2 linked regions of the Oreochromis niloticus genome follow. The protein of the gene in region 1 purifies or fractionates together with the protein of each later gene. This does not show direct contact. Links are inferred from orthologs where the notes say so. Each region holds a gene or a part of one and is shown in the gene's direction. Other genes may lie near its edges.

What was found. Proteins that work in one complex are often made in the same cells at the same time.
Region 2: the proteins of cdk5 (region 1) and ccni purify together in Homo sapiens (affinity purification with mass spectrometry; 3 studies listed by BioGRID and IntAct, with this or other methods). This does not show direct contact. The link is inferred for Oreochromis niloticus from reciprocal best matches to the Homo sapiens genes CDK5 and CCNI.

The regions. Positions count from the first base shown.
Region 1 is NC_031982.2:19,022,572-19,032,888, reverse strand, and holds the start of cdk5 (cyclin-dependent kinase 5), read left to right. Parts: upstream 1-5,500; 5' UTR 5,501-5,810; coding exon 5,811-5,847; intron 5,848-6,187; coding exon 6,188-6,276; intron 6,277-6,391; coding exon 6,392-6,459; intron 6,460-6,549; coding exon 6,550-6,610; intron 6,611-6,689; coding exon 6,690-6,746; intron 6,747-6,865; coding exon 6,866-6,961; intron 6,962-7,421; coding exon 7,422-7,496; intron 7,497-8,953; coding exon 8,954-9,050; intron 9,051-9,757; coding exon 9,758-9,827; intron 9,828-9,981; coding exon 9,982-10,042; intron 10,043-10,140; coding exon 10,141-10,221; intron 10,222-10,317. Other genes in the region: abcb8 (mitochondrial potassium channel ATP-binding subunit), read left to right, coding at 1,295-1,392, 1,492-1,597, 1,699-1,732, 1,851-1,987, 2,104-2,198, 2,278-2,411, 2,513-2,660, 2,743-2,993 and 1 more. UniProt on the Homo sapiens protein: Proline-directed serine/threonine-protein kinase essential for neuronal cell cycle arrest and differentiation and may be involved in apoptotic cell death in neuronal diseases by triggering abortive cell cycle re-entry. Interacts with D1 and D3-type G1 cyclins.
Region 2 is NC_031972.2:33,324,823-33,336,055, forward strand, and holds the start of ccni (cyclin-I), read left to right. Parts: upstream 1-6,821; 5' UTR 6,822-7,054; intron 7,055-8,697; 5' UTR 8,698-8,743; coding exon 8,744-8,857; intron 8,858-11,233. Other genes in the region: ccng2 (cyclin-G2), read right to left, coding at 28-126, 234-312, 1,036-1,286, 1,377-1,514, 1,597-1,701.

The DNA.
Region 1 (10,317 bases):
ACACCATAGACAATTGCCTTCAGATGACCCCAAAGATAAAAGTCTAAGGGGGTCAGATCGGGAGACCTTGGGGGCCATTCAACTGGCCCACGACGACCAATCCGCTTTCCAGGAAACTGTTCATCTAGGAATGCTCGGACCTGGCACCCATAATGTGGTGGTGCACCATCTTGCTGGAAAAACTCAGGGAACGTGCCAGCTTCAGTGTATAAAGAGGGAAACACATCATCATGTAACAATTTCAAATATCCAGTGGCCTTGAGGTTTCCATTGATGAAGAATGGACCCACTATCGTTGTACCCCATATACCACACAAAACCATCACTTTTGTTGTTCCAACAGTCTTGGAGGGATCCATCCAATGTGGGTTAGTGTCAGACCAATAGCGGTGGTTTTGTTTGTTAACTTCACCATTCACATAAAAGTTTGCCTCATCACTGAACAAAATCTTCTGCGTGAACTGAGGGTCCTGTTCCAGTTTTTGTTTTGCCCATTCTGCAAATTCTGTGCGCCGATCTGGGTCATCCTCGTTGAGATGCTGCAGTAGCTGGAGTTTGTAAGGGTGCCATTTGTGAGTAGCTAATATCCGCCGAAGGGATGTTAGACTAATGCTACTCTCCAGTGACATGCAGTGAGTGCTACGCTGTGGGCTCTTGCTGAATGAAGCTAGGACAGCCACTGATGTTTCTTCATTAGTGACAGTTTTCTTGCGTCCACATTTTGGCAAATCCAACACTGAACCAGTTTCACGAAACTTAGCAAGCAGTTTGCTAACTGTAGCATGGGAGATGGGTGGTCTCGTAGGGTGTCTTGCATTGAAATCTGCTGCAATGACCTGGTTACTGCGTTCACCAGATGTCAACACAATTTCGATCCGCTCCTCACATGTTAACCTTTTCAACATGTCAATGGCTGTGAACAAAGAGAAACTTGTAAATAACTCATGAAAGAATAAAGTTACGTTGAAACCAAGCACACCATTGTTTTTCTTGTGACATTACCAATAAGTTTGATGTGTCACATGACCCTCTTCCTATTGAAAAAACAAAAGTTGTATCCAAGATGGCCGACTTCTAAATGGCCACCATGGTCACCACCCATCTTGAGGAGTTTGCCCCCTCACATATACTAATGTGCCACAAACAGGACTTTAATATCACCAACCATTCCCATTTTATTACGGTGTATCCATATAAATGGCCCACCCTGTACTTCTACCCTTTGTACTTTCAGAAAAGCACTAAATCTATGACAGAGATACAATGTTTTGATTTCCATAATGTTTTTACACAGGTTATATGCATATGAAGTTGACAAATCATGTGAAATGAATGAAAATCTTGGTACTGGGATTGCCATTTTCCAAGGGCTGTCAAACATTGCCCTGAACTGTGAGTGTGTTTTACATTGTTAATTAGTGGACACACTGTTAGCAGCCTGGTACTGCATCTCTTCTGTTATGCTAATGTTTTTGTGTCGTGTTAATACAGGCATTGTCCTTGGAACTATTTTTGCTGGAGGAACTTTAATTTCAAGCAATGAAATGTCTCCTGGAGACCTAATGTCTTTCTTGGTTGCTTCTCAGACCGTTCAGAGGTAAAAACACACAACCTGCTCCACGATGATTTCTCTTTTACAATTAAATGTATTCTTTCAAAAGTAGTTAATTACAAGTCATGCATTCATTTTATGCTCAGGTCTTTGGCCAGTATCTCCATACTTTTCGGTCAAGTAAGTAAAAACTACGATTATCTGACTGCCAACCAGATTTGAAACTAGAGTATTATAATATGTGAACAATTCCAAATGCCTCAAATATTTTGCTGGCAATCTCTAACATTTGCTGCAGGTGGTGAGAGGAATAAGCTCTGGGGCTCGGGTTTTTGAATACCTTGCTTTGCAGCCCACTATCCCCCTCTCTGGAGGAGGACGTATTCCTTACCATTCACTCACAGGAAGAGTGGACTTCATGAACGTCTCGTTCAGGTTAAAATCCTCCTAATTCAGCTCCAAATCAAATATAAGTTTAAAACTACAACTGAGCACAGACATAAAAGTGTGATTTGTGAATGATGTATTGTTTTCTATTGATATGTTTCCAGTTATCCAACAAGACCAGGCCATCAAGTCTTGAAGAGATTCAGTTTGACACTACCACCCTGTAAAACTGTCGCCATTGTTGGAGAATCTGGAGGAGGTAATTTCTGACGTTTCATTCAGTAACTGTGCGACATTCAAACAATATTGGGTCATCTCATAAATGTTTAACCCTGTAGGAAAGTCCACAGTTGCGTCCCTGCTGGAGCGTTTCTATGACCCTACCAGCGGTGTAGTCATGTTGGACGGCCTCGACATTCGAACACTTGACCTTTCCTGGCTCAGGAGCCAAGTTATCGGATTCATCAATCAGGTCAAGGCTGCTGATCATTTCATGATCAATTTTTAAAAAGTATTACTTCCTAACAATTTTCACTGCAACTTCCTTTTTTTCCTCTTTCTTCTTTCTTTTAGGAGCCAGTTTTGTTTGGATCATCCGTCATGGAGAACATCCGTTTTGGGAAGCCTGAGGCTACAGATGCTGAGGTCATTGATGCAGCAAAGCAAGCCAATGCTCACGGCTTCATCACGGGTTTCCCAGACGGCTATAACACCGTGGTTGGTATGTGCTCCCATTTGAGCTTTCACGACTGTTAAGAAACGGTGCCGCTTGTTAATTCTAAACTCCAGATCTTTAAACCCAGGTGAGCGTGGTGTGACATTATCAGGTGGACAGAAACAACGCATTGCCATTGCCCGCGCTTTGATCAAGAACCCCAGTATTCTGGTGCTGGACGAAGCCACAAGTGCTCTGGATGCAGAGTCAGAGCGAGTGGTGCAAGAGGCTCTGGACAGAGCCACAAGGGGTCGCACTGTGCTCATCATCGCCCACCGATTAAGCACCATTCAAGGGGCTGACCTGATCTGCGTGATGAGCAATGGTCGTATTGTGGAGGTGAGAAGGCTGAGTATTCAGGACATACTCTGACCTCCATTTAAATCCTCCAGCTAATTTACTCTAGCTTTTAATGTCAGAGATGTACTTAATAAAATTGAATTCTTTCAGTATTTAGTAATACGTATGGACATACTGGTAGCTTCCTTGTTGAGTTGATTGTGTTATATCAATTTTTATTATATCTAACACCTTTTTCCTTTTTGTTACAGGCTGGGACACATGTGGAACTGCTGAGCAAAGGAGGATATTATTCTGATCTCATCCGCAGGCAAAGAGCTGAGGGGCAAAAATGACCACACCCATATTTGTTTACAGTAGCTGTATAATACTGTATAATGGCGTTTATTTTGAAATGCATAGCAAGACATGTGTGGAAGATTAATTATTTAAAATGTACTGTAAATTTGCCATCTCTGTGACTAGTTTTATGAGAACTTACAAATGTGTATGAACAAATGGACCAATGTGGATCGGCCTGTGATGAACAAATTACACTACTGAATGCGCTGTTATTTCCAGTGTTGTTGATAGAATGATAGATAAATTGTAATGTGTTGGAAAAAATATTAAAATTACTTTTGATGAATTTAAAGTGTTTATTATCTGTTTGTGGATGACAATAAACCTTTCTTGTCATAAAATGTCTAAGAAACTCAACACAGACCCTTACTAGTGATCAGTACTGACATTATTCTAAAATTAAACTCTGGGGAAGGACTTGCTGTTTTGGCACCATTCTTCTTTGCCACCACATACATTTGTATATATAGTTTTACTATATCCAGGCCACATGTAAAAAAGAAACTTCACAGCCAGCACATATACCTTGTGCTCTTAACAAGCTAAAGTTAGGTCCATAGTTTGTTAGACAAAGACACTTTTTGTAGTTTTTTGTCTGTACACTATCACAGTGGATTTTACATCTGACTTAAAGGTTCAAGACATTTAACAAAAACTTCATTAACTATTTACTGTAGGAGTTACAGCCATTTTTATACATAGTGCCTCATTTTCAGAGGCTCAAGACTAGTTGGACAAACTAACAATTTTAAATATGAAGACATTGATACTTGTAGAAACTCTGGATCATTGTTTGCATCGTGACGCTCACTCTATTCAGTTTACTCTTCTGAACCTGAGCAGAGCATAGCCCTGCACACAATTCATCCTGCTAATTCTGTCAGCAATCACACTGTGTGGCCCATACCATGCCCATATTATAACATGTTATTATATGGGCATGATTATGAGCTTTTTCTTTTACTTAGCATTGTTCTGGTAAAGGTAATCTTGGTTTCTGTGACTAAAGAATCTATTGGCTCTTTAAGATGTTTTGTTGTTACACTCTGTTCTTGAATGTAAACTTATAGCATGTTGTAAACCCATGAATGTGTTTCTTGATTATAAACTTCGACAATAATACAGCAATTTCCTAAAGAGTGTTCTTAACTTGGTAAGATGTTGTGAAGTTGTTTTTCTTAATCATGAAAATAGTTTTGTCATCATCCACATTGGTTTTGCACTCACCCAGGCCTTTTGGTGTTGCTGAGCTGGCCATCCCATTCCTTATGTTTAATAATGAACCAGGTTATTGATTTGAAACACATTTTGGCATCTCTACAAGCTGCAAGCAGAGAGATGCCAAACTGTGTTTCATTGTTCTTGCATCAGTGACAATAAAGATCTATTCTATTCTATTCAATTGGCCTCCCCTAAAATTGATTTATTGTCCTTTTTAGCCTTACGATAGCCTTCTTCACTTGCACTAACATCTCTGAGTCTCATATTTTAAATTACAGCAAAAAGCTTTGAAATATAAACTCAAAACGTTTAATCAAGTGTGGATATTATGTCCTGTTCACTTATCATGACAGAACAGGCCTCACCTGGCTATGAAACTGCTTGTCAATCCATTGTCCAATTAATTTTAAGCCTCTGAAAATGGGTGACTATACAAAATGCTTGTAATTAAACAGTTAATGCAAAATGTGTATAAAACTAATTAATGTAATTCCTAAACAGTGAATGCAAAACGTTTGTAAAAACTCCTTTAATTAAAGCGGGAAATATGCAGCTTGATTTTGATTGCTTGATTTAAAATCCACTGCTGTGGTGGATAGAGGCAACACCAAAAAAATGTTCTTTTGTCCAAAAAATTAGGGATTGCAGCTGTATGTGCTGGCATATTCTTGTGTAATAATGAACAATAGCCATCAGTATTCAGCATAATGGGCTTGTTTGCTGACCACACCACAAAGGAGGTAAAATTTATATCACTTTAAAGTTGTGTTTACATCACTACACACATATATTAGGCCATATTGGAAGTCTGCTTAAGAAATTAACAGTCTCACAACTTCCTAGAACACATTTGCACTTTAAGATTACGTTAGTAATTATCGCCCCAGATAAGAGACATCACATCTCTACCATGTTCATATTATCACTTTGTCTGCAGCAACACCTCCCTGAATGAGCCATCTTTAATGAGCTTTTATGGCCATTATGGATTACTTTACTTTTGTACATAAACTTGCCTTTTACACGATTTTCTCAAATGATGTCTTTTAAGGACATGAGATTCTGCATTTTAAAATGTTCATTATAGCAGGTTAGTTTCAAGGTTGCTGTAATTCGTCTTTCAGCCTGTAGATGACAAACAAGACATGCTCGGCTGCAATCCGAAGAGCAGCAGCAATTGCAGACAGATTTAAGCTAACGCTAGCTACAATAACATTTTCTTTTCACCCCAATTTGGGGTGTTGTCATTCGTTGGTTTTTTAGCGTATTCAAGGCTGGCTTCACTGGCCAAACATGCAGAAATATGAAAAGCTTGAAAAAATCGGGGAGGGTAAGTCTCAGACTTTTGTTTTGGTTAATTTCGCAAGGTTAATATTAGTTAGCCTAGCACGCTAATGTAGCATTCATGCAGGTCGAAGGCTAAAGTTAGCTAATCTGTAAGCAATATGTATTCGTTAATGTATGCCCCAGTTAACCACATGGAAAAAATTGCGAGTTTTTACTCGCACTAGTATGTACTAGTAACAGTACCAGTCAGAAGAGTTCTGCCTTCCACTTTTACTATATTAGCGCTAGCTAACGGTGGGCATGTAGCGAGCTAATATTAGGACCCCTTAGCTGTGCCCATTCATCGGGATATGTGGTTTAAATAAATTTTGTCTGCTCCATAGGTACGTATGGGACCGTTTTTAAGGCAAAAAACAGAGAAACCCATGAAATTGTGGCTTTGAAAAGGGTCAGGTTGGACGACGACGACGAGGTTTGTTCTTTATAAAATGATATGAGAGTCACAGTGTTTGTTAGCTAGTAGTTAGCACGCTAGTACTAAATGGAAGCTGTTTGTTTTGTTTTTTTAAATTAAAAAAATCTTTTAGGGGGTGCCTAGTTCTGCTCTGAGAGAAATTTGTCTTCTGAAGGAACTGAAACATAAAAACATTGTCAGGTAAGTCTGACAGAAGAGCTGAATGCCTCCAGGTTACATGTAACCCTGATGTCAACAAACACCAACAGAATATTATTTTGCCTTTTTTAGACTACATGACGTTTTGCACAGTGATAAGAAGTTAACCTTGGTTTTTGAATACTGTGATCAGGTGAGTTGGTCACCTCTAAAACGCACTATATCTTAATATGTACCCCCTGAGCCTAATATGTGTCTCTTCTCTGCTGCAGGATTTGAAGAAGTATTTCGACAGCTGCAACGGGGATCTAGATCCTGAAACTGTGAAGGTGAGACATAAACATGAAGAGCATTTAAACTATGTAAACCTGCCTGCTTAAAAGCCTGTTTTATGCTTAAAATTTGAAATTAACTCCATATTGTTGATGCTGTTTGTTTTCCTGTACAGTCATTCATGTACCAGCTGTTGAAAGGCCTTGCTTTCTGTCACAGTCGAAATGTTCTTCATAGAGATCTGAAACCGCAGAATCTCCTCATCAACAGAGTGAGTGTTTAGGTGCATTTGGACTTGGTGGCTGATAAACATTCATTACTGTGTGGCCTCCATCAGTATACTATTTCTTTAAAGTTAAATCTAAGTGAGATGGACACTGGTTTTCTTTGTGAAAACAAACACCACTGAGTTTATCATTGAGATTCTGTGTAATGTCTTTTGTTTTGAAGTTCATTCATTTGAGCACTGCAGCTTATTAGTGTGTTAGTTTACCACGTGTGATACAGAGATTGCATTCACGGGGCGACGATGAAATAATAATATACATAATATAATTCAAAAGCAGTGGGATTTAGAATAAAGTTTAAAAAACATAGAGGTGTTAATATTGCCGTATTAACGTCAAAATTTTGTTGAGATTGACTCATTAGGGATGTGAGAATGTGGATACAGACATGTATCCATTTATATGCTTTGATAATTATAGTAAGAATTGTTTATCTGTCTGTAGAACGGCGAGCTGAAGCTGGCTGACTTTGGTTTGGCTCGAGCTTTTGGAATTCCTGTGAGGTGTTACTCAGCAGAGGTAGGTTATACATCATTAATGCAAAAGGTACTAACAGCTCACTGCTTTCAGCTAAAGACATGTGACCAGTGTGAAAAAGCATAATTTTTTGGCAACTGCTGTGTCTAAAGAGAGGACAACTTATTTTTAATGTTGTGCAAACTAATGGTGTAAGAATACTTTAAACTTGGCTTTCCAAGAAGTACTGGTATCCAAGATGTTAACAATCTTATGATGAATCATACTTTCTCAGTTTTTAAAACAAAACCACACTTCCTGAGTAAAATGCTTTGTTTGAGAAGTGCACTGACCTAATTACCTCAAGATCTAAATATAAAAGGAAGCCAGAATATAGCACAGTATTAACATCTAACCAGTAGATTCCCTTCAACTTTCTCAGTGTTTTATAGGTTTTTGAAATGTGCTTTTTTGTAGTCTCTCATGTGCACACAGTTAAAGGCCTCAATTTGTTTCTTTTATCTTCAAATTAATTTGTTTAATTAATGATGAAATGGAGTGAAGCATGTCTCAGTATGTGGGTGTTTGATTTTTGTTATTGCTGAAACTTTGAGAGAAATGACGCGCAAGGCTTACTTGAGGCCTGACAAGCGATTCTCATGGGGATTTTGACCCAGGTTGACGCTACTGATCTGAAAATGTAATAAACAGAAAATCTGGAGGAGACCTGAGTTTGAAGCATTGAGATTTTAAAATATCATTTACATTTGAGAGGATGTATTGCCCTGTGGCTTCCACAGTTGCTTCGTGTTATGTTGACATATTATATAATGTATATAGTATGAGCAGCTTAAAGGTAGTATAGGGGTTTTGTTTTTTTAATAAGTTTTTACTTTATCCACAATATTGTTCAGCTAATCCTAATAAAAGCCAGTTTGATCATATTTAGAGGCAAGGACTTAACAACACTGTACTTTTTTCAAATGAAATGCCGTCTTAGTTGAAAAACTTGAAGTCCTTTTCTAGCTGGAAGCTCTACAAATATGTTTTGTAAAAAGAAAAGTTAGTTTTGTTTTGTAGCAGGTAGTCACGTTTAGTAATTTACACATTTACTAAAGTGAACTTTTGCACTTTTTAAACTGAAGCATAGTCACTTGCAGTCAGCCCACACATTTGCTCTGAAAAGTGGAACTTTTCTATAATTGCATTTGATTTTCTTTTTTTTTTCCTTTTTTTTTTTTTTTACTCCTGCGGTGCCCTCCAGACGACTCATTTTCATAAGTCCTTGGAAAAATGAGGGTCTGACACAGCAGCAGCTTTTTAAAATGCCAGCAAGTTGTGGTGGAAAGCAGAGGGAGATTTAAATGTGCCATTCAGTATTAGTAACAGTGTTGCCAAAGTCATTTCCTTGTGAAACACACCAAATGTAAAACCCACCTCAGAGAGCCGTTATTATGCCCAACATTTATTTTACGATTAGTCTGGTTGTGATTATACATTTTGTTTTGATTTGTTTTTAGGTGGTGACATTGTGGTATCGGCCTCCGGACGTGCTGTTTGGAGCCAAACTTTACTCTACCTCTATCGACATGTGGTCTGCTGGATGCATATTTGCAGGTCTGTGTGTGTGGTTTGTGGAATCAAATGAGGATAAAACTAAATAAGTAATCCAATAATTCGGTGCTGGGTGGTAAGACCACAAATGTATCTTCTTTTAGGATTCTGGTAGTTTCATATTATATTACAGTATTATTAATATTTAAAGTATTACTTTTGAAGGTTCCAGTTCAGGTCACAGTGTGAGCAGGTGACCATAAGCTACAAAGCTAAATGCAGCAGCCTGGATTCAACTCCAACCCAAAGGCCTTTGAAGTCTATGCAGAAATAGTGTCATTGTCATTTGTACATATAAATAAACAGAATGTTTATATTGTACAATAAGAGGCTAATATGGATGGCTTGTTTTTGCCATTCATAAATAAAAATCAATATTTTAATGAGATAAAAATAAATAAAATAATTTATAGGAATGTAATAAAGCTCTTACTTTATCAATAAAGTAACAAAATAATTGAAGTAATACTATATACAAGTAATAAATGTGCAAACAAAGATTTAAGTTAAAGAGCTGCCGCTTGTCTTACCCTGCTCTCTCTCCCTGCTTTCTTTTCTAATCTTCTTTAAAGTCACTCAACATTTAAGTAAACAGTTATATTGTGTAGTGGTTGAGGCTAGGATCTTTAAAGGATAGTTAGTTGTTTTTTTGTGTTCGTGTTTTGAATGGTAACTCTTAATTTGATGCCATTTATTTAATTTTTTTCCAGAGCTGGCTAATGCTGGAAGGCCTTTATTCCCCGGGAATGATGTGGATGACCAGTTGAAAAGAATTTTCAGATATCCTTTCCATGTTAATACAGTACCTACTGACGATATACAGTTTGGCATGTGGGTCTCCGGTTTGTTCAGGCAGAGCTACTCATATTTGAATTATTTATGAACAGCAAGTCTTAAAAGTAGTGTTAAAAGTTTGTCTTTAACCGCTCTGTACATTGTTGGGAACACCAACTGAAGAACAGTGGCCAACAATGACAAAACTCCCAGATTACAAGGTACGTTTTTTTGATGTCATTTCTTTTGTAAAACCTCCAGTGCATTGAGCTTTTACTGAATTCGTTTTATTCTTTACAAACTCTTTTTCTTCCTTTAGCCATATCCCATGTATCCTGCCACCACCTCACTGGTGAATGTGGTCCCTAAATTAAGTAGCACAGGACGGGATCTACTTCAGGTACTCTAAAACAAATTTGTGCATTATTTGAGTAGCTACAGTAAAATGATGGAAATCTGTTATTGTAGCTGGGTTATTCCATCTAAAATCATTGTG
Region 2 (11,233 bases), on another chromosome or scaffold:
GTCATGCACTGTTTGGCAACAGCCTACCTTGAGGTGTCTCTGGATGTGAGAGGCTATTTCCAACATGTCCTCAGACTGAACGGCTTCAATCTCCTGCCTCAGGAGTGCCAACGCGAGGACGGACGGCTGGAAGGAAAAGCAAAGAAAACACAGTTAAACAGGATCAGTGTTGTGTCAAGAATAAAATGAATTTATTTGTCAGTTTTTAGCCAGGACAGACCTGGAATTCTTACCTTTGCTTTGGAGAAGGAGATCCGGCACAGACAGGCTTTGAGCTGAGCCTCCAGCTTCTCCAGGCTGAGCGTCGTCTTCCTGTTAGCACAGACATAAACATACAGTCAGGTTCAGGTCTTTAACAATTATCAAACACACACAATCATCAGTTATGTCCATTTTACTTGTTTATTGCTATTAGTATTAAATTAAAGTAAAATTAAATTAAAAATGGGTCTTCCTTCCTTAACTTTGCTGATAGCTCGATCCTGGATTTGAGTAATTTTTAGTACAACATGTTTATCTTGTAAATTATGGTTATTCTGAGAATCGAAAAGGTGGCTCAACATTATCTTGGTCAATCATAAGTGGTCAGCCAATGAGTGTTAAGTTTCACAAACAGATGACAGTGGTAAACACACATAGCAGGACTCGTCAACTCCAAACACTGATGTCAAATATGAGGCCAGTTAAATTCAGTGCAACGCTTCAATTAACTTAATTTGCTCTAAACAAAACAAACTGGTGTAAACTCTCTGATGTGGCATTTTGACCCAAGCTGAGCTGGTTTAAAAACAACACGGCAGGGTTACATAAGAGCAAAGTTTTGTTGCCAACAGCAGAAAACAAGTGTTATCAGTGCACTTCAATCAGACACTGCCTGTTGCCCCACATAACAAGACTTTGTGCCAATCGAAACACTGTCGTCCAGACTTTTGAACCCAATCCAGAATCGTCAAGCTTCCAAACATCAACTGTAATGGATCATCTATTTGCAGACACAAATTTGAACACATAACCTCGTGTTCGTAGGGGCCTCACCTATCGGTGCAGTGTGATAGCGCGATCTGGTGGTACAGGTGCAGAAAGGTTAAGGCGGTGACGGCTTTGGACTTGAAGTTGAGCTTCTCAGTGACAATCTTCTCCATGCGGGCGAGGTCGGACACGGTGAACCGGCACTGTCCGATGCGGATGAGCTCGTCGGTGGGTGTCAGGTTGCACTCCTTCTCCGTCACTTTGGCTGCCATATGGAGGCAGCTGAGGCTGATGCAGGACAGGTGCTTGGGCTGGATCTGATGGTAGGAGAGACGACAATTAAGTAAAGAAACCTCTGAAGCTAAAGTGTGCTGCGTCTGCTCTTAGCAGGTGTAAAAGTCTCATACCTTCATCATGGCGAGAAATCTGTCCAGCAGGTTAACAGCCAGGACGAACGTCTGCGTGCTGTAACCAAAGAAGCTGGTCAGACTCCACAGATCCTCCACTTTGGCATCCCTGCACTTGGCCGAGATCCGACTGTCACCCTGGAGAATAAAGACACGCTGTTGGTTAATTTCACCGTTATTAAGAAGCCTGTTAGCGATGCTTAGATCAACAGGTGCCTACTGGCGCTGTGGATTCAATGGCGCGGAGTCCCGTCACTTTGGGGAGATAATGCACTTCCTGCTCACAATTCACCCTCAGCTCCTTCATCAGCTTGAAGGCATCCATGTCTCAGCTGGGACTGCAGGAAGTGATCCGTCTTTTTTAAAACACAGTACCGACACTGCAAGGAAAGAAAAGTCACAAAGTTTAGTTTTTATGCTGCAACCTTAAACATCGTCGGGATTTATGTGATCAGTAAGAAAAGGCAGACCCGCAGCCTTTGTTGTCAGCTTGTGCTCCTCGGCGGCAACAAGAATGTCATAGTTCAAATAATTGCAAATCGCAACTGAAACTAAAAGCATTTTTGTAATACAGATACTTAACAGGATTTCTGCAAACTCTCCATCACAATGTAGAGCAGAGCAGAAGTTTGGAGTTTCCCCTGAGGTGAGTTTGTTATGACATTTTACAGTGTTATGAAATTCACTTCTAACCAGAATTCCTCTGATTTCTTCTTAAACCTGCTTTTCTCTGTTTTGTTTGTTTAAAAAAAAGAAGGTGATTTTTAATCACACTCATGCCTCTAACTATTGAATGATACAAATCTAGATTATATTTTTAAATCCGGTTTGCACCCTGGCAGCCACCTGATTTACCTGCTGCCTTATCTGGCAGGTTATTCAAAGTCACCAGACTCACAAACTTCTTTCCACACGGACATTTGGACTCAGCCCAAACAAGCAAAATCAACAGAGCCTCCGAGCAGTTTTACATTTTACAGCATCACCACTCTCATGCAACAATTAGCTCTTTTCTGTACCTCCACCTCACAACTTCCTCATGATTCATTTGTTTGCACTGTTAAAAGTGAGCTTTATTTTAGTTTTGTTCCATATTTAGCATTTTACTTAACTTTTTGCTACATTTTAGAGATTTTTGCCATTTAGCAGGGGGTTTATTCACTGCATTCAAACATCTGTAGGTTACCCACCCAAAAAGGGTTTAACCTTTCCTGACATAAAAGTCTCTGTGATCATAAGAAAATATTTTTGAACCTTTTTGCTGCATGAATAGACTTGTCGTGAGTATGGCAACAAACTCACTGCCTCAACCATATACGGAGGAGAGCTGCTAATGAACACATCCCCTCCCCCAAAAACCACATTCCCACCAAGAAAACCATGTTAAGCTAAATTCTATTTAATTTCTATTTGAGTAATTATGGGGAACATTCTGTTTTTACTTATTATCCTCTGTTAATCTGTTGTTTTGTCGTGTTGCTTGTTCCGTTTTATCAACTTTTTGGGAAAAAATAAAATCTTGTTTTGTTGTATTTCTCACAGAACAAAAACAATAAACGCTTTCTAGTCTCTTTTATTGTAGACGCCTGTGTGTATCATGAGAATAATGTGAATGAAGAGGACACATTTGAGGTGAAGTCTTTGGAATCGTGTAAGATAATCTGTATCCAGGTTGAGGATCTAAGTTAATCACTCGGTCCTCTCGTGTCTAAACTGCTACACTGTTACTGTGTTGTGACATGACTTTACATTTTCGGGTACATTGTTGCTAAACTGTTACGTGACTGGCGTGCACTCTCAGTCTGGGGGTCAGAGCCCAGGGCCCGGCCCACTTCCCTCAGCTGGGCTTCGGTGTCAGATTTCCGCTGGTCTACGCCTTCTCGATCCCCTGACCGAAAAACAAGTACCCCTTTTTCCTGTTATGACTGTAAATTAACGACCTAAAATACAGATTAAGTTGCCCCACACGTCTAAAAACACTATTTTTATCTTTTGGTTTTGTTTTTTGAATTTTTGTAGTTGATGTGGACGGTTAGCCTCCGCTAGCTAATGGTTTAAATCCTCTGTAGTCGGAGCGGGGGGAGGGGCTGCCGTTTAAAAATGATGAAATATCTTAACTATTTTACTACGGAAACACGATTACCCACACAGATGCTTAATAACTGAGAATTAGAGCAGAGTTGATTAACAAACCGATTATATGTCATTGCAGTGGTTTATAAAAGTGAGTTTAATCGAGCTTAAAAAGAGGAAAACGGGTCCAGAGGATACCAGCTACAACAGCAAAGAGAAGCCTCTATGCTGTACGTGCAAACTAATGCAAAAATATCAAATATAAGGAAAAACACACCTTAAATGCTTTTAATCTAATGTCAGAACTATAAAATTCACCTATGTCCTATTTTTAAGCGCTTCTGGGCGAGTTCCTGTCGGCAGTTACTAATGAAAAACCTTCAAAAACAAAAAAATGACACTTTACTCGCTCAAGTGAACTCTCTGAGTAAAATAAATACAGCTGTGATGTATTTTAAAGGTTTACTCTACCTGTTTCTGTGAGTTAGATCCACATATCTGTCCTGCTGTGGCTTATTTTTCTTCTGCTCTTCTTTCGTCTTTCTCTTTTTCTGTCCTTTGTTGATGTTGAGTAAGCTCACGCCTACTTCTCGACGTCACCCGGCCACAACCAATCAGACGCATCGCTTTACGAACAGCTGTCCCCTTTTCATGCTGTTAAAGGCACAAATTGCAGCTCGATTCTGGTGTTTTTGTAACACCGTAACAGCATTTTTACCATATTCACACCGGAGATCGATAACCCAGCTTCAATCTACAGATACAGCTCGGAGAAACTGAAACACAGCGTTTGGATCGCGAGAAACAAGCCCACCTTGAGTAACATTACCGTGAGCCAATCAGCAAACCGGAGTTCGATACGTTCAAATAGTCCGCCCAAAATCTAATGTTTTGATTGGATCGTGCCCGCACAGAGACCTGACGCAATCATGGCATTACGTAGTGCCTTTTTTGGACAGTTTTTTTATTCATTGTCTGTGTCAGACGTGAAACAACATGTCTGTAAATGGTTAAACCTCAATTCCACTTTAAACAAACATACCAGTGTTTTCTATATACTCTAAGATCTTTCACATGTGATAAAGATATTTGTATTAAATGAGAATTCAACACAAAAGTGATTAAATTCAAAAATATTGTGGCAAGCCCGTGCAAGTTTATAAAAACAAGTGGAATGAGAGATTCTACACCTGGGTTCATGTAACGTCACAATGAACCAGAATGAGAATATCTTCTGATATGTTGAGCAAAGGTCTGGAGTTATTTGGTTAGTTGTTTTAAGACCCCAGTCTAAATTAATGGGTATAGACTAAAATTCCAATTTAACATGAAACATGAAAACACCATGTATAGAATCAGATCACATAACACTAAAGTAAGGCGTTATAAGCTTTAAGTCTCTCATATGTTTTTAACTATGGTTTTGTTGAATTATAACCTTCGCAATGAAACACAGAAGAACTTCAAGAATAAAAATATTAAATATGAGAGTTCATGATTTTACTTTTATGCAACTTTGGGTGGGGACACCAGCCAGGGTTTGCTGGAAAGGTGTGACTGCTGAATCCATTGATAGGCAAATATCAGTGGGTACTGGAATATCTAAATATGCACTAATTTACATACATTTCCATTAGATAATGTGTAAATGAATATTTATTTTAGACCACATTTTAGGAGCTTTTCTTTCCTCTTGCCTGAGAGAAGACAGTTTAAGCAAAGAAAGAAAAATATATTTGAAAAAAACCCTCAGAAGCCAAAAAAAAGTAGTTTGTTTGCAGTTTCCTGCCAGAAAGGTGCATTAAAATTTCATTTAACTGTCATAAGATTGTTAGTCAGACCACTAATGATGTCAGTACTTCTGTCTAGCTGTCTGTGTCACTGATAATGTGCGTTGTCATATTGTAAGGCAGAAATCAACCCTTACGTCAGCATTTACTTTGGAGCTGCTTTTGAGGAACCACCACTTCCCACACGCTGATAGGAAAACACAACATAAATCCCTGCCATACATCATACTCCATGATGAACTCCACATTCAGCACACTGATCAGTACGTTTTGGTTACACTGGCCCACAGAAGATTACCAGAGAAAGACCCAGCTTTTTCTTTTGTTTTTAACCACATAATGGAGTCTTTCCTGGGACAAATGCTTGTACACTCCCACAGAAACATCCAGAAAGAAGCTTTGTGTTAATTCTGTTCTCTTAAACAGAATCTGTGACGAGCTAAGATTTGACACAACTCTGTTTTTATTCAACTGTCATCCTTTCTAGCCCTTTCAGTCGGGTTTCGGTCCTTTCACAAACGATATTGTAAGTGGTGCCGATTCTGGTGGTTGTTCTGCTTTTGTTCTGCTGGACTTGAAAGCTGCTTTTGATACTGCAGGAGTCAAAGGTTTGCCTCTTAACTAATTTGAGTGTTACATCTAGAATTATACAAGGGTCTGTCTTGGGGCCTGTTCTTTTTTCTTTGTATATGCTCTCTCTACCTCCAGTTATTTGTCAACATAACCTCTCGAGTCATTGCCATGCAGATCATTTACAGTTGCATTTAGCTGTGAATCTTAGAAATCACTGTTCTGTAAGAAAGTGCATTTTCAATATATATTTAAAAAAACAAACATTTTTTGGCAGGTTATATTGTTTGTCCCTTGACTATTTAATGAGGGGTTAACAGATAAACTGTACCTTTTAACTACTTTTGTTACAACACATACTAAAATCGTTTTGTTAAATGTAATTTTGTTATTATTTTTTTAATAGAAAAGAGTTATGTTTACTTTATTTACTTTATTGCACTGTACACTAAAGTTAATCAATCATCTGTTGCTAGTCTATTAATAGTGCAAAATGCTGCAGCCAGATTACTGACTGGGACAAAAAAGAGAGATGACATTACTCCAGTGTCAGCAGCCTTGCACTGGCTCCCTGTGCAGTATAAAGTGGTACTGTTTGTGGTTTTAAACAGGGTTGCACCTACATATGTAGAAGCTATGCTGAATCCATCTCACAGTTGATCTTAGACAAGCATCAGATGTGACTTTAAATCTACGCTGAAGACACCTTTTATTTGTGTGACTTTCTGTAAAGAGTGTAAACGTGATTTTTTTACGTTTTACTTTTAATACATTTTAATTTGTATTGTAAAACTATTAAAAAAAAAATTGCTATATAAATAAAACGCACTTACTATTTGTATAAGGAATAAAATAAAGTGAAGGATGTGAAATTCTTCAGAGAAGATGGTCTTGAGTACAGTAGGTTCACTGTAAACTGTTAAACAAACTCCCCCTGAAGGTACATACATGACCGTGACCCTCTGCTGAAGGTTTGATTGTTTTGCATTCCCGTTCAGCGTGGAGGTGGGCGGAGACTTTGTGTTTCGCTCTTCCCCCCGAGTCCCCTCCTCGGAAGTAGACGTATCAGTCTATATTCCGTTCTTTTATTTTTATATATTTTATATACAACAACCCCCTTTTATCCCGAATAACGATGGACGACTAAAGTGAAGTGCGGGTACCCGTTTTCACCCTTTTCTCTCGTCCTTGAACCGAGTGGACCGGATGAAACCCAACTGTGGTCTTCTCCGCTTCGCAGGGGAGGTAAGGCTCCAGGCTCCGGGCTCCGGCTACTTACTGGGTCTGACTCAGCCATTTAAATGTCCCTGCTGTGTTATTAACGCAGTCTGGAGACTCTTGTACGCACCACAGCCTTTTTTTTGTTTCACAACAGTGGAGAGCAGTGAGCAACATTTTCAGCGATGTTTGTGTTTTTAAACAAGAGCGGATATACATGTAATCGCATGTTACGTCAGCTAGCGAACAGCTAGCCACGTCAGATTAGCTCAGCTCCAGAAGATAGCCGGATTCGGGGTTATATCATAAGGAAATGGTCGGTAATACACCTGCTCTTGAAGCCTCGGTGCTTCCCAAAGTGAAAGGGACTTCCCGGTTGGATATTCACGGTAGTTTCCCGATAAAAGGAGAAATTGTTTGATTTTAGTTTGTCATAGATTAGACGATGACTGATGTGATTACGGTTAGCTAGGCTAGGTTCAAAGCTAACGTTTCAGATCAATGAGGTCACAAAGTTTAAGCATCTCCAGGAGCTTCAGTACCCCCAAATAAATACCCACGGCCTTACAGGAAATGTAGGGTTAGAACGTTTATATTTTCGGAGGGTTAAACAATACATTTACATAAAAAATGTTCTCCATTTTTGAGAGATTATAATGGTAAATTTACAGGAAAATTGTATTTTTTCTGAGGGTAAAAAATGTACATAGATTAAAGCTGTAAATTTGCAGGGGAAAAAAAGGATATAAAATTAATAAAATGACAAAAAAAATGACGTGTAGTTTGAAATGACATTAGTATTAGTACAGGTGGAAAACGGAACCTTTTTAGAGATTGAATGCTAAAATTATATATTTTTTTTTAACGCAGAGATTAAAATGAGCCATAATAAAGAGATTGTGTATATTTTCAGAGATAAAAATGGTACATTTACAGAAAACGATTATCTTGATAAATTGCAGGAAAAATTAAAGTCTTTAGAAGTTACAGTGACAAAAGTACAGTGAAAATAATAAATTTTAGAGATTCCAGTGGTAAATTTACAGTATATTTTCTGGGATTAGTCAAATGACAGGGGGGGAAATGTCTAATGTATTTAGAGATTAAAGTGATAAAATTACACATACAAAATTCAAACATTTGAAAATTTTTTTTTTAATTCTATGGATGTAACCAACAATATTATTAAGTCGCCTATGGGCATTTGACATCAGCTGTTTTCTTTTTTTTGTTTTTAATTTATTGTTATGACCATTAATAATGCTAATGTTATAATAATAATCTGTTTCTGAATCCATTAAAATGGTGTACATATAAAAGAGGGACATTTAGGACAGCTGCAGGGAACAAGACACACATTTAGTAAGAAATAAGTGACGCAAGACAGAAGTGGAATATAATCATCAGCTCCTCAGGGTTCAATTTATTAAATTTTGAAGGAGCCACAAGCCTAGACGGCGGATTCATGACTGTGTTTGCCACTTTCAGTAAAAATTGTCACTTCTTTGTTATTTTTAATCCCTCACTGAAAAATAAAGACGTATGCTTTGGAAAACCAGATTTTTGTTCCTTAAAAATGATCCCTTAAACGTGGTTTTGTGAGTATAAAAGCACTGGTGCAGTCCTTCTTGGTGGCAATGTTCTAATATCCTGCCCCTCCAATTGTACAGGTAGCTGTATCCAGTGGGGAGGTAGGCTCAGCCCAGGGAGGACACGATGAAGTTCACCGAACCCTGGGGACGCCAGAGGTTGTCTTTTCTTTTGGAAAAGGCCGCCTCTAGGGAAGCCAAGATGTGGAAGGTCTACGTGCCAAAGAAGCCTTCCTCACAGGTGAGACGCTTCCTCGAGTCACCCTTGTTTATGTAACTGATGTATTCACATAGGTAATTATTATGATTTGACATGGAAACACCGGTGTGGGAATTGCACTACAGCAAATTTATATGTAAAAGTATGTTTCCCTTTAGAGGTGGTGCTGTTGGTAGTTAAAGCAGAATGATGAGAATTATTGTTGGCTCGTCTATTCGATGCTTTTTAGCTTGGAATTCATGAACTATTTTCACTTTATACATCAGAAAATTCAATAAGCTATATTTTTCTCACATAGTTATGAGAGGTATTTGTAGATAGTGAAGCTGAGATAATAAACATTGGAAATACTGGAAAAATCTGTTGTTTGCTTCATTGTTTGGCTGGGATTCTCGGTTCTTGGCCAGCCTTTCCCAGCTTCTCTCATGCTGTGCAACAAATAAATTGTTAGTACCATGCAGCAAGAGAAGACCATGAGTGAGTGGGGCTCACAGATATACAGAGTGGAAGAGTAACCACAAATCTGTGCATACTAAGGCAAACGTGTATAGCTACATCTCAGCTGATTAAAAGAAAAAAAAAAAGTGTTTCTTCTTTAAAAGACAGATTACTTCTAAATAGTGTGACTGCAAGCTTTTGGTCCACTGGAATTTTTTTTTTGTACATACGCTGAGAACCTTGTTTTAATCTTCAGTCAGTTTTAATGTGAACAACCACCACTGGAACAAGAGATATATAGCAAAAATAATCAAAGTAAATATCCAACTGCCTCCAAGAACTGTGGATGTTTGTGATCTGCTCTTTGCCTTTTTATCTCAGTAACCCACCTGATTAGCACATTTTCTTTTATTCTGGGACCTCCTGATTCACAAATGCAGTGTGAAATGACACAATTTTCCCACATGCAGCAGGCGAACTGTAAGTGAGGCGCGCAGATAGAGAGGGAGAAACTTAAGGATGCAGGTAAATGACAAAGAGAAACTAGTATGTGTATCCGTAAATCCATTCATCCTAAAGGAAACAAAGAGGTGAATGTTTTACAGGCTGCCTAAATGGTTCTTTAGTGAGCTTTACTGCCACAAGGCCTCAGCCCTTACTGGCCATCTTATGTAATCTTTTGCACAGGCTTGGGTTTCCATCTACACACTGAAACATAGAGCCAAGAATTTAAGACGAGGCTACTGAAAGGAGCTGGCACCAGTTCAATAAATAGAGGTGCAGGCCAAGGGGTCAGCACTGAAAGGTCTTTAAATGTCAGCACTGAAATATTGGACAAATAATACCGGACAGGTTTAATGTGTTAGGCGACTGAAAGTTCACATTTTCAGAGACGACACAGGTCCAACAAAACTGACTTGATTTCTGTTGATTATCTAATGATTGTCATTCTTTTTATGGCTCTTGAATGGTGCCATATCAGCATGTTGATAATGGAGTTGCAGGGAGTAGTCTGCTCCCAGACATTACCATAGACAGACACCGTGTAATCACAAAGCAGCAGGGCAGAAGAAACATGGCGTTGAGTCACTGAACAGTCACTCGGCTCAGCTGGTCTCGCCCCGTTTACTGGGAACGTCTCGACATGTCGTTATTTGACGTCACAGAGGTGTCGTTTCATCACACCCTCGGGTGGTCTCGCCCAGTGTACGTGCACGTTCTCACATGATGTCACTTACCTGTGAAATTCTTTATATTATGTCTTAACCAAGAAGGTTATTAGCAAAGGATATTGCACAGTTTATCAGATGGTCAAAAATAAGAAAATGTTTAGAAAATGGAGATTTAGTTTTTAGTCAAGAATAACCCTCCTACATGCCTTTATAACATGAGCTATAACTAGTTTAGTTCAATTTAGATATATTTTTTTGTATTTCCTCTCCTCTCTAAGCCCAATTTAAGCTTAGCATTAGTGTCAGCTTAGTCTTGTTTAGCTAAATATTAGACATATGTCTCTAGCAACTAATTCAGGTATGTTCTTCAAAAACACGTTATCTAGTTAGTGAAATAGGATTGGTTATTCAAACAAGCAGCATGAACCTTGTGCTGGGTTGACAGGTTCAGGTGACCTTTTTCCTCTGTCTCAGGTCATGACCTGGGTCAGTAATCCTTGTGTGGTGCTGTGGTGGATTTTGATTCCTTACTAACATATTTTTCAGTGCAGCGATCGTCCCGTCACGTGTCTCAGTTGTTGTGTTTTCCAGCTGGTGGAGGTTTTTGTTGTTGTTGAAGGTGGTGGTGTTCTCTCAGGTATCACCCTGTTTGTTAAATACAGAAGGTTTTGTCTTTTTTGTCTGCTGAGTGTTGATACCATTGTCCAAATACACCCAGAGAGCAATGCAGGGGTAGTCATGATAACACACATAACATCACCTGCATTAGGTGACTCAGGTGTTTTTA